Drosophila melanogaster: one gene and its partners. The protein of the gene in region 1 interacts with the protein of each later gene in a pairwise test. Each region holds a gene or a part of one and is shown in the gene's direction. Other genes may lie near its edges. The genes, in order: Xport-A, bond and Cnep1r2.

What was found.
Region 2: the proteins of Xport-A (region 1) and bond interact in a two-hybrid assay, tested with the Drosophila melanogaster proteins (one large-scale study listed by BioGRID).
Region 3: the proteins of Xport-A (region 1) and Cnep1r2 interact in a two-hybrid assay, tested with the Drosophila melanogaster proteins (one large-scale study listed by BioGRID).

Annotation. Positions count from the first base shown.
Region 1 is NT_033777.3:19,913,848-19,917,519, reverse strand, and holds Xport-A (exit protein of rhodopsin and TRP A), read left to right. Parts: upstream 1-2,107; 5' UTR 2,108-2,225; coding exon 2,226-2,439; exon of another isoform or gene 2,440-2,443; intron 2,444-2,507; coding exon 2,508-2,644; 3' UTR 2,645-2,695; coding exon of another isoform or gene 2,696-3,037; 3' UTR 3,038-3,124; downstream 3,125-3,672. Other genes in the region: CG4465 (uncharacterized protein), read left to right, coding at 1-474, 530-1,530; Xport-B (exit protein of rhodopsin and TRP B), read left to right, coding at 2,696-3,037.
Region 2 is NT_033777.3:22,548,682-22,552,436, forward strand, and holds the start of bond (james bond), read left to right. Parts: upstream 1-1,998; 5' UTR 1,999-2,197; intron 2,198-3,072; exon of another isoform or gene 3,073-3,174; intron 3,175-3,416; exon of another isoform or gene 3,417-3,595; intron 3,596-3,755.
Region 3 is NT_037436.4:10,636,472-10,640,226, forward strand, and holds Cnep1r2 (CTD nuclear envelope phosphatase 1 regulatory subunit 2), read left to right. Parts: upstream 1-1,674; 5' UTR 1,675-1,832; coding exon 1,833-1,854; intron 1,855-1,951; coding exon 1,952-2,023; intron 2,024-2,082; coding exon 2,083-2,229; intron 2,230-2,743; coding exon 2,744-2,898; 3' UTR 2,899-3,207; downstream 3,208-3,755. Other genes in the region: E(z) (enhancer of zeste), read right to left, coding at 153-313, 375-1,106, 1,169-1,290; CG18628 (uncharacterized protein), read left to right, coding at 3,328-3,385, 3,449-3,582. UniProt on the Drosophila melanogaster protein: May form with the serine/threonine protein phosphatase l(1)G0269 an active complex dephosphorylating and activating lipin-like phosphatases.

The DNA of each region.
Region 1 (3,672 bases):
CCGCCTGGTTCATGGCCTGCATCCTGTTCACAGCGCCGGATCTGTACCCCGAGGAGGAGTACAAGTGTGATACGACGGCTTTCGGGCCGGATGTCAACTCCACCGTCTCGCTGGACCACTGCTATGTGATGGTTAACTACGGAGAGTCCGCCTACGCCATGCGCCAGTGTCGAAAGTTCCTCTACACCACGGGTTTCCACTCCCTGACCATGGAGTTCGATTTGGTGTGTCTGTGCGACTTCTTTGTGGCCTGGTCTCAGTACTGGCACCTCTTTGGCCTCCTAATCGGTGGCGTGGCGGCCACCAAGTTGATGCGGGTCCTGAGTCCCCGACAGATTTATAGAACTGGCATCTGGTGCCTGCTCATGTGCAGCCTACTGATGGGTCTTGTCAAAGACTTCAGTCTGCACTGTGGACTCCGATGCCTGGCTGCTGTTTCGTGCTGTTTTATGATCACCTCGGGGCAGTATATATGTAAGTAAAATTGAATATTTAAGAATACTTTAATATTAAATAACCTACTTTTCAGTTGGTGACATAACAGCGGGAAAATATCGCGTAGGAACCCTCATACTTTACGACTGCTTCTGGGCTCTGGGCTTGATTCTGCTCCCTGGCTTGGCCTCCAATGCTCCCAGCTGGCAGCACATATACTTGGGCGTAACTCTTTCCTTGCTGGTGATTGTCTTTCTGCTACCCTGGACTCCGGACTCACCGCGCTGGCAGCTGCAACACACCAAGGAAGCTCAACTGGCCATCGAGCGAACGGTGGGTATCCTGCTGGAAGCAGCCCGTACCAATGGTAGAATGCACAAAGTGTCCAAGGAGTTACCCCAGCAGTTGGAGGAGCTGAGAGAAAGGATGCTGGAGCCAATGCCCGCCGTGCATTGGATGCACTTGTGGATGGGCCAGCGTAGGAGTACTTTCCACTTGGTGGCCGTGCACATGGCACTTGCCACCTTCATGGTGGTCAACACTGGGCTGCTGCTCCATGTGCGGTCCTTTGGCAGGGAGCACCTGGTGTCCAACACACTGGCCATGGGCCTGGCCGAGATGCTTGGCTGCTTCCTGGCCCTACACCTGACCTTCAACCTGAGTGAACGCAAGTGGCAGTGGGCGGGGGGATTTGCCATCGTGGTCGGTTGCATCGGTAGCATCTGTTGGTTCCTGGCCGAGGAGGATATGCCCGAGGTGTATGGACTGACGCTGGGCTTGCTAATGGCATCACTTCCCCAGGCGGCCGTAGCCTGCGCCCAGTCCATGATTTTGGCCTGCCTGGGCGAACTGGTGCCAATGGAGCAGCGTAGTTGCCTCTCCTTCTCCGCCGTCACGTGGGCGCGGGTGTGGCAGCTCTCCGCCTCTTTTCTCACGCTGCTCAGGCAGGTGAGCCCCGCCCTCTCCCTGTCCGCCTTCTGTCTGCTGGTCATCCTGGGCGGCCTTGGCACATGTTGCCTGGTCACGCGGGACAAGGAGCAGCCACCGGTCGGAGCTGTGGTAAACAAGGGACAGCAACTTATTGCGTTCACGTAATAACGTATACTTAATATATGTCTGGGCGTATTTGATAAGTTAGTTGTAGTGTGTGTCAAGTATTCGCGAACAGTATTCGAATTTAGCTCATTAAACATTCGCTTATCGCGAATCGAATATGTATATTGGGTTGCATACTTTTGGGAATAAATCAAAAGTTCGGCATCTACACGTAGTTTGTTTAAAATGTAAAGCTTACATTAGATCAATGCAAAACTATTATAAACTATTTGGCAGAATAAGGCATTAAATAAATTAAAACTGGTTTGCATGATATTTAAATAAGCTTTCAGGAACCAGAGCCATTTGGGACCAATGTAAACCCACAAACACCAACCCTACCGGCGACCACCTTCATCCACCAAGTTGACACACATTTCGTGTGACTGGTATAATAAGTACACATGCCCGGCTAAATATCCAAGCGCATTGCTCCACTAACAACATATTTCTATTTGGTCACCTGTCCCACCATTCCCACCCAGCCAGAGCGACAAGCAGAAATCGCAAATCAATAAAATGGAAACCATAAAATTGCCAGAAGCGGCGCCACGCCAATTGGCACCACAAAGTTTGTGTCATTTGCGGAGCAGCAGTTGGCGAGGAAGCACCAGGCGGAGAGCACTTCCAGGACCAACTCCAATCAAATGCAGTGCTGTGCAGGCTGACCGACCAACTGCTGCTATCTGGATGCAATGAAGCCGAAGAAATCGGCCTTTGCCAATTCATCCACGGGATACGGCAGGAACAAGCACGGTAAAGGACACTCTGGCAAGGATAAAGTCGAGGGTGGTGGTAAGGGCAAGAGCCGAGACGAGAAGGATAAGCATAAGCATGAGCAGAAGGTGGACGAGAAGGATGACAAGGATCTAAATTCCGGCTTCGGCGACTATCTTCGCACTCCGGAGGGTCTGTAATTTTCGCTCCTTAAAAATATATAGTTCATTTAACTAATAAATATTACCCCTTTCCAATAGCATTTGAAATGATGAAACTCTTTGTCTTCGCCAATACCATAATGCTAATTGTCACCATGGCCTGGCCGCACATCAAGGAGCAATTCTACATGGTTAATCAATGGCTTGAAAGCTTCCGCGAGGAGCATCAGCAGTAGAAACCAAAGGATCTATCGAACAAATAAGTAAATCAAGTGGAAGCATACAATATGGTCGGTCCATTCATGCAGGGCCTATTCTTGATTGGCATCATCTACTGGTATTCCAAGGGGATGATGTCCATGATCAACGACTACTACAGAAGTGAGTTCCAGCGAAAGTTGCAGACGGAACCAGCAAAGACGAGGGCAGAGACACCCATCAATGTGGACAACTTTATGGATTATGTTAGGGAGCTGGACACTCCGGACGAGGTGGCTAGAATTCCGGCGGAAGGAACTGAATCTCCGCCCATGGGAAACACCTATTGCCACATCCTTCGACGATTCTTGGAGATTACCGGCACTCTACCACCATTCGATGTTTGCCTAGTTACGAGCAACATAAGATAGCCCATCCTATAATTAATTATATATGGTATCAATTATACTTAGTGTGTTTTATATGAGTTTCGTAGAATAAAATATCTTACTAACCGTATTGCATACTTAATTGTCTTGCTCTCTACATTCGAATTCTACATTGTATCCCACCATTATGAACAACAATAGAAATATTTATCCAACTTGTGGTTTTCAGCTTTTTTATTTAAATGTTTGCAGAATATATTCGTGTGTCTCCAGCATTAGCTCACTTACTAACCTATTCACAAAACTTTATAAACATACTAATCTCTATAAATATCATGGAATATATATCGATTTGGTCTGTAAGTAAGCTCTATTCAATCCAGATCTGGTCATTGCTAGTTTGCATCTGAAGCATCTCGTGAAAAATAGTTATATGGAGATATAAAGTAGTTAGGTATTTGACTTGGAAGTTATGCCATTTGGTTTATAATAAGTGCTGTCTACAAATCGCTTGTGTTCAGGTATTCGTTTTGTGGCACAAAGTGTAGAGTTTTGAAGATACCACAAAGCTGAAGATATCTTAAGTATCATTTGATTTAAGGAGGTCAGTATGTGATTAAGAGCTAGGTATTACCAATTTCATAAGAGATCCACATTCTAACATACACTACGCGCAC
Region 2 (3,755 bases), 2.6 Mb from region 1:
TTGCACATAAAGGCCAATATGTTTAGTCAAGAGTCATTCATCTTTGTTAAACAAATTCAATTTCAAACATAAGACTATAGAACTTGCTTTGCTCAGGGGCAGCCCATCAAGATGATATACCCTATTGACCAATCCAGGCCAATATCATCCATCAGCTCTCGGCGTTCTGACCAGCTACGTTAGAAACTCGGCCAAGGAGCAGATTTCGCACAGACCCCGACTAGCGGTATTAATCGACTGAATTAATACATTTAGTAGCGCTGAAGTTCAGGGTCATAATCACAAAAGAGAAGCGCCGATAATGCGAGCTGTTTCTGTTTGAATGACGAGCGCGCGACAAAAAATGCTAAACGGCCAATGTGCTTCAAATGGAAATGGAAATGCCAAAGACCCGGAAGGGTGGCGACCAACACAGCTGCAGTGCATCCAACTCGGCAAACATTTGCATATTTGACCGGGCACTTAGCACGTGGGTGGAGTACATGGATCACCATGGGTCACACAAATCACCTGGGAATCTGGGAGACTGGTGAGAGTAAGTGCGTGAAATTGACCCATTCATTGGACGGACAATCGCTTCCCATCGATCTGGAAATGTGTTAACTGCGCCCGTAAACCCTATTTGCGTAGTTAAATTAAGTGCCAGGTTATGGAGTTGGGGCGTGTCATCCCCCACATTGGCACATATATATATATATATATAAGCACTTATAACTATGCTGCCAATTGAGTTCGTCTCAATGACGTGACGGCGATAATAAATCAATTGTCTAGCGGTTTATTTAAAGCCAATTTTGTAGCTGGAAATTGGCACACAGAAAGAAAAGTGGTGTCAGGAACTTATATATAAAATGTTATTATTTTGGTTATTTTTAAAGGGTCTAATGGAACTATTTTTATTATAAAAATGTAGATAATTTTTTAAGCATTTCTTTATAGAGATGTTTTTAGAAAAATGTTTTTTTAAATGGGCACACAGAAAGAAAAGTGGTGTCAGGAACTTACATATATAAAATATTATCCATATCTATTTTGTTAATTTTAAAGGGTCTAATGGAACTATTTTTATTACAAAAATGTAGTTAATTTTTTAAGCATTTCTTTATAGAGATGTTTTTTAGAAATAACACAGTATCAAACGAAAGTGGCGAGGATGACGCAAAATCCAATTAACCTGAGTTATCACTGAAAGGTCAAAGCACATAATAAAAATATAAACTCCATCGTGCGGTCTAAAAATCGCGACACATTATATATAAATATAAAGTGCATGTATATATTTTTTTAGAAATTCATTCCAAACACTTTCAGTGGCATACAAACAGATTTTCATAAAATTGTTAACAATTTATGATGATGAACTAGAGTCTCTCATAGTATGTTCTATGTATGTTCGTTAAATTCTAAACATATACCATAATATATATATGTATATGTATACATGTATACTAATATTGAAGTATATTTCGTTTTTACTGTGTACTTTTTCGCTTCCCTCTTTGCTTTCGTTTTCTTTTTGCCGCTCTTTTTGCGATAGGATCTGCATGTTTTTTTGGCCAACCGGGAAAGGGTTAATAAACTTGTTCAAAATAAACCAAGAAAAAGCATGGCTTATCTGCTGCTGTTAGCAGTTTTGCTTTCTTTTCTCGCCACAGACATTCATTTTAATGGCTTCAAACTTGACCTTAGCACCAGAAAGCACCAAAAAATCAGTAAAGATAAAACCAAAACTAAATGTTTCTAAAGCAAAAATAAAATAAAAAAAAAAAAAAAGAAACCGCCGCGCAACTTAAATTGGCCATTAACGCAACTTCGACTTGCATCGTATCGAACCCGGCCGAGTGACGCAAAAATCAACTAAAAAAAAAGGTTAAGTATACGCCGTGCGGGCCGTGCCGCGACTGCGCTGCCAGCGTCGCCAGCGACGGCGGCGTCAAATGTTGGCCGGCCTGCGAAGCGCGTTCATTTTGTTTATTTATACAGCCGAGCGGGTAGAACTCCATATTAGTGTCTTCTTGGCGTTTGCCGCAGTCGAGTCCGAGTCCGAGTCCGAATCCGAATTCGAGTTTCGAGTCCGTAAACTGTAACTGAATCTTCAGGCTACGGTCGTAGTGCGATTGTGTGTGTGTGCGCGCCAGTGCGTGTGTGTGTTAGCCAAGTTCCAAGCAGGGAATCGAGTCAGCCGAAAAACCAACAGGTACGGAAGTGATATGAATTCATTTTTTGGGGCAACCTAAAGGCGTGATGAAAGTGTTGCATAAATTGGAGAGCAGTTCTTGGGCAAAAAAAAAAAAAAAACAAAAAAAAAACTGAGAGCTCGATTGGCAGTGGCTGGTCTAAGCCTGGCTAACTTTGCTGCCACCACCGCCATTGGTCCGTCTGATATTTCTCGTCGACCTTAACCCAATGCATCGTACATAGATTAAATGCTGAAAACTCGCTTGAGGAGCTGCAATTTTGCCAGTCAGCCAAGGCCAAGACTCTGGCTGCAGCATTGAGGCGGCCAAATCTAAACGATTTGAACTTGTAATCGATTGCGATTCAATTTGCAGCTGCACTAGCCAAATGGCCTTCAATAGCACCAAGCAAATGGCCGCCTGACACTATGGCCAAACTGAACACTCCCCCTCACGAAGATGACCACATTTCATGGTTAGGCAAACAGATTAGAAGTCGCTGTTCCCACGAAGAGACCACGGCCCATATCCGTTACAGTTTCTAACGACAACAACACAGACAGACGCAGAGGGTTTCGTTTGGGCCAGGAAAAAAATCCAATTAACGCCGCAAATATTTACAGAGTAATTAAAGGTTGTCAGTCGGCCCAAAAAGTCACCAGCAACAAACTCTGGCTTAAGACGCACAGGGGAAAAAGGTTTTTAAGTCATCTTTCGCGTTTCCTAAATAATATTAATATATTTTATTTTAACGAAAATTGAACTAAACAGTTTTGTTGATAGCCAAACAGATTTTTTGAACTATTTATATATACTTTCATATATGTCTCAAAAAGCAATTAGCTAGGGAATTTGCTAAGCTTAGTTTTAATCGCATTTTAAAACATTTTCTTACCGTGTGGGTTATAGTTATGGATGTATCTATGTGGCGTTTCTGCGGTTTGCCAACTGCTGGCTGACTCGACGCGTTTTTGTGCCTCCTCTGTAAATGCCTCGGCTGGCAAAAAAAAAAAAATTAATTTACAGCGCTAAGCAAGCATGAAACCATAAAACATGTGCACTTGACACAGGCAAAACTAAATGATTAACCTGTTGCACTCTGGAGCCACGTCGGGAAAATAACAATGTGGAAAAAAAAATTAAACAATTTTCAGGGTGCTCGACCCGTTTACATACCCTACCCGATCTACTCAGTACTCATGATTCTATGGATCCATTCGATTGCATCGCAACACCTACCACATTTCCAAACTTCAATGGGCTAATGTATTCGGGAATTTCACATGGCTAATTGTTGTCATTCGGCGAACACTCAAGTGCGTGTGAAAATCGTGCTGTCTGTAATCTATAGAAAAACATCCGCCCCATTGGACTGCAATTTACACAGCATATATGTAGCTATATCATTTTGAGGAGTTCTGCAACAGAAAGGAAAATAATAAAAAAATATTTAAACCAAGACTAGTTTACTATCATAAATTGCATGTACTTGGGATTTTCCAAACACAAATCATATTTTTTTTTTCTGGTGTACACACGTGGCGACATAACACACGAAATACCTGAGCTTCTAGGCGC
Region 3 (3,755 bases), on another chromosome or scaffold:
ATTTCGTTTTTTTTTTTGGGGGTTTAAGAAATGGTACAGATTTGTGTTTTTTGGTAAGATAATATTGTTTCCAAACAAGAAAAGAAAAGCAAAAACAAAACGTAAAGTCATTAGGTAACCCAGCTGGCAGCAGTTCCCATCGTTTAACTTACGGTGCAGGAAGCAGTCGTATTTGAAGCAACGACGACAGAAGAGCGTGTGAAAGGAGTGCATAGTCCTTTCCCGGGAAACGCTCTCGGCCTTGATGCCGTCAATGTTGGGTGTGCACTCCTGTGGGCGCTCCGGATCCTGGTGCTCCGTAAGCTCAATGTACCTAGCAAAAAGAAAAAGCCGTAAGAAGGGATATTTACTAACCTGGTTATCAAATTACATACTTTTCTTTGAGCTCTTGCGCGGTGCCCTTGTCTGGAAAGTTAGCGCTGATGGCCTGAAAAATAATGGGCGCAGGGAAGGGCAGCTTGTCCTTGACTTCTTCCACATCGGGCTTAACATCCGCATCTTCAGTCTCCAGCGGTTCTTCAGTTTCCTTCTTCTCAACTTCAGTCAGATCCCCTTTGCTGTCGGTTTTCTCAAGCTTCATGGGAGATTCACCATCTGCGTCAACATCAACTACCCCATCATCTTCGCCCTGTTTTGATTTCGCCAACGTCTCTGTTTTAATGGCAGTCGCTGTACCCGGAGCGGCTTCCTCCAGTTCCTTGCTGTAGGAGCGCATAAGGGCGTGCACCAGTTCTACGAAGATGGCATCGTCCATGAACGAGGGATCCTTGTCGCCGTGAACCTTGCCATCGTAGTTTTTGATCAGTTCCTCTATGAACTTGCCATCCTTATCGAGGACCTCGTCGCCCATATAGGGTATATTGTGCAGCACCGTCTCATCCTCCACCATGAAGTTCTGCTGTGTTGGTGCCCACGTGTACATGGTGGGTATGGGAGTGACCGCGTTGATCACGCAAATGGGCACCTTTTGCGGACCGCTGGGAATGCCATTGTAGCTAGTCACCTCCGCCCGCTTCACACAGTCCACATGCGGCGGATCGTAGGGTTTAGCCTGCCAAACCTTCGACTCGCAGTACAGATCCTGTACATTGTGGTTGTGCTCGTCCCTGGAGGATATGTGTACATAGATTTTCGATTCCCAGACATCCACCATCTCTCCCGCGCTTACCAGTTTCTTATCCACGCCTCCTTGATCTCGTCGGCACGTTTGTAGCGCTTCTGCTGCCTGATTTTGATGTACTCCGACTTGACACGCCTCTTCCACTCGGGCGGCACTTTAGTGCTATTCATAATGCCTTCGAGGGACTTTATATTTGTTGATTTTACGTATAAAAAACACTGATTTTGCTACAAATATTATCCGCCTTTTTTTGCAACAGCTGCCGCAGTGTGACCGTTGTACTGCAGGAAGAATAACTTAGACACATGGGTGTATGTAGAAGACCATTTAGTGGGTACTTAATTTGTCCGGTAAGCCATTAATTATATTTATATTATAATAAAAACTATGATATTTTTGTATTAAAATAATATAAATATAATATAAATAATACATAAATATAATACTCACTTTAAATTAGCTATACAACCATTTTGTACTGAAAGTAGGAAATAAACAAAGAGCCCCTCTTTGGTACGACCCTGCTTTGTGTAGTGTTGAGAAACGCAGCCCGTTATCAGTGCTCTCAAACGTGGAATGTCATCAAAAACATAAAAAGAGGAAAAGAAAGCTATGAGAACCTCATCAAATAATAATAATAAATACAATAATATTTAAACTGGACAAATTTAATCGCATTAAGACGGCCACGAGCTTTGAGGAAATAGCTGCAATGGAACCGTCAGCCTGCGAAGGTATGTAACTCGCCGGCAAAAGAGAGCCGGAAAACGCGCAAGCCACTGACTATGTTTACCAACCATAACTGGGTTTGTTTTCCTCGCTCCTCTGCAGATCTCAAGGCCTTCGAGCGGCGCCTCACCGAAGTGGTTTCATCGTACCGTCCCTCGACGTTCCGCTGGCGCAGTAAGTTGCATCCGTATAATGAGAACACCAGGGAGCATTACAATCCGTAATAACCATAGAGCTTCTTGCAGTTGTCCTTTCCGCCATGTCCATGTGCACCGCCATCAGCGCCTGGTACTGGCTACGCGATCCGCGCACCACCGTTGTACCGCTAACGGAGTCCCTCTGGATTCATCCCGTCTTCACAGTCGCCACCCTAACATTGGGTAAGAATCGGTGTAGCCACTACTGTACTCCGTACATAGGTCACTTTTTGTAGTCAACAGCGGCGGTCATTGAACCTCGGATATTCTACCTAGTATGGAGAATAATTTTAATACCAAGCCATACCATGCTATTTAAATCCATATAATCATATCGTAGAGCAAGTCGATACTATATATCAGGTTATCTCAGGCTACTCGGTAAAAAGAAAGGATCAAAATCAAGAATTTCAAATTTTTAGGTATTTCTACTGTTATTTTGAGTAGAATACACTCCTTATATCTATCACATCTATGCAAACTACATAAGTACATTCTCCAAATTTTAGCAACATTAGGTTGCCTTTAATCTTGTCAAAGCTCTTCGCTTTATCAAATTCGATTTGTATATATCAATATTGATAGTCCAACTGATTAAGAATTTTCAGCTAACAAACACTTCCATTTAATCTAATCTAATTTTTTTGGTTTGAAACTGACTTACTGATTTTGTAAACCTTATCATTTCTCTCCGCAGTCGTCCTGTTCATCCTGGGCATACAGAAACTAGTCATAGCTCCGCAAATAATTACATCGAGAACGCGAATGGTACTGGGAGACTTTAATATGAGCTGTGACGACACGGGGAAGCTGATACTCAAGCCGCGGCAAAGTAACAACAACAGTACATGAGCACCGGCCAGCTTCCAGGACGTTTATTTAGTTAATTGCTAGTTCCCTTACCCTTTTCTTTTTTCCTACATGTTGATTCGGACACCCTCGCTTTGTAAGCGTATTTTTAAAGTACCTCTTATTTCTCCCCTACACATTTTGTTTAATTATAGAAGCTCCTTTGTACAAAAAAACAAAAAGAAAAGAAATCAATTGTTAAGCTTTATGTGTTTCGTTAATGGCGTTACCCATCGCTGCCAAATACACCAAGCGACATTTCAATATCAATTCATCTATAACTAACGAGTTGCTCGCAAATTGTGCAACGACAAGTGTTTTTGTATATTTGGAGCGGTTTTTATCGAGCCGCATTCTGTATAAATAGGGAGTCTGTGCAGTTCCAAGGCATCAGAAGCAAGCAAGCCATCTGTACAACAAACCAGCTTTACCATGAAGTTCCTACTCGTGTGCACTCTCATCCTGGGCCTCGCCTTCTTCATGGCCTCTGGCAAGGATTGCAATGGGTTACGCTCGACAACAGCTCTACTTAACTGCTTCCCATACATTCTAGCCCTTCCCCAACTGAACAACGAGGCCCCCATGGTTGGCGATGACCATCACCACCACCCGGTGGTCCGCAGCGTTCACTTCGCCGAGGACGTTCAGGCTCAGCACAAGCACGATGACGTCGCCTGCTGCGGCTAGACATCTCCATTTGGAGCAAGGCGTGACGGCAACTTCATCGATCTTAAACCGCCTTTAACTTTTAATAAAGAGCAATATTGAACAAAGAACATAAATGTTTTGGTTTTCTAAAATGTTCGGTTTTGAACGAGTTCAAATCTATTTTACAGAAGAAATTGAACTAAAATTCAATA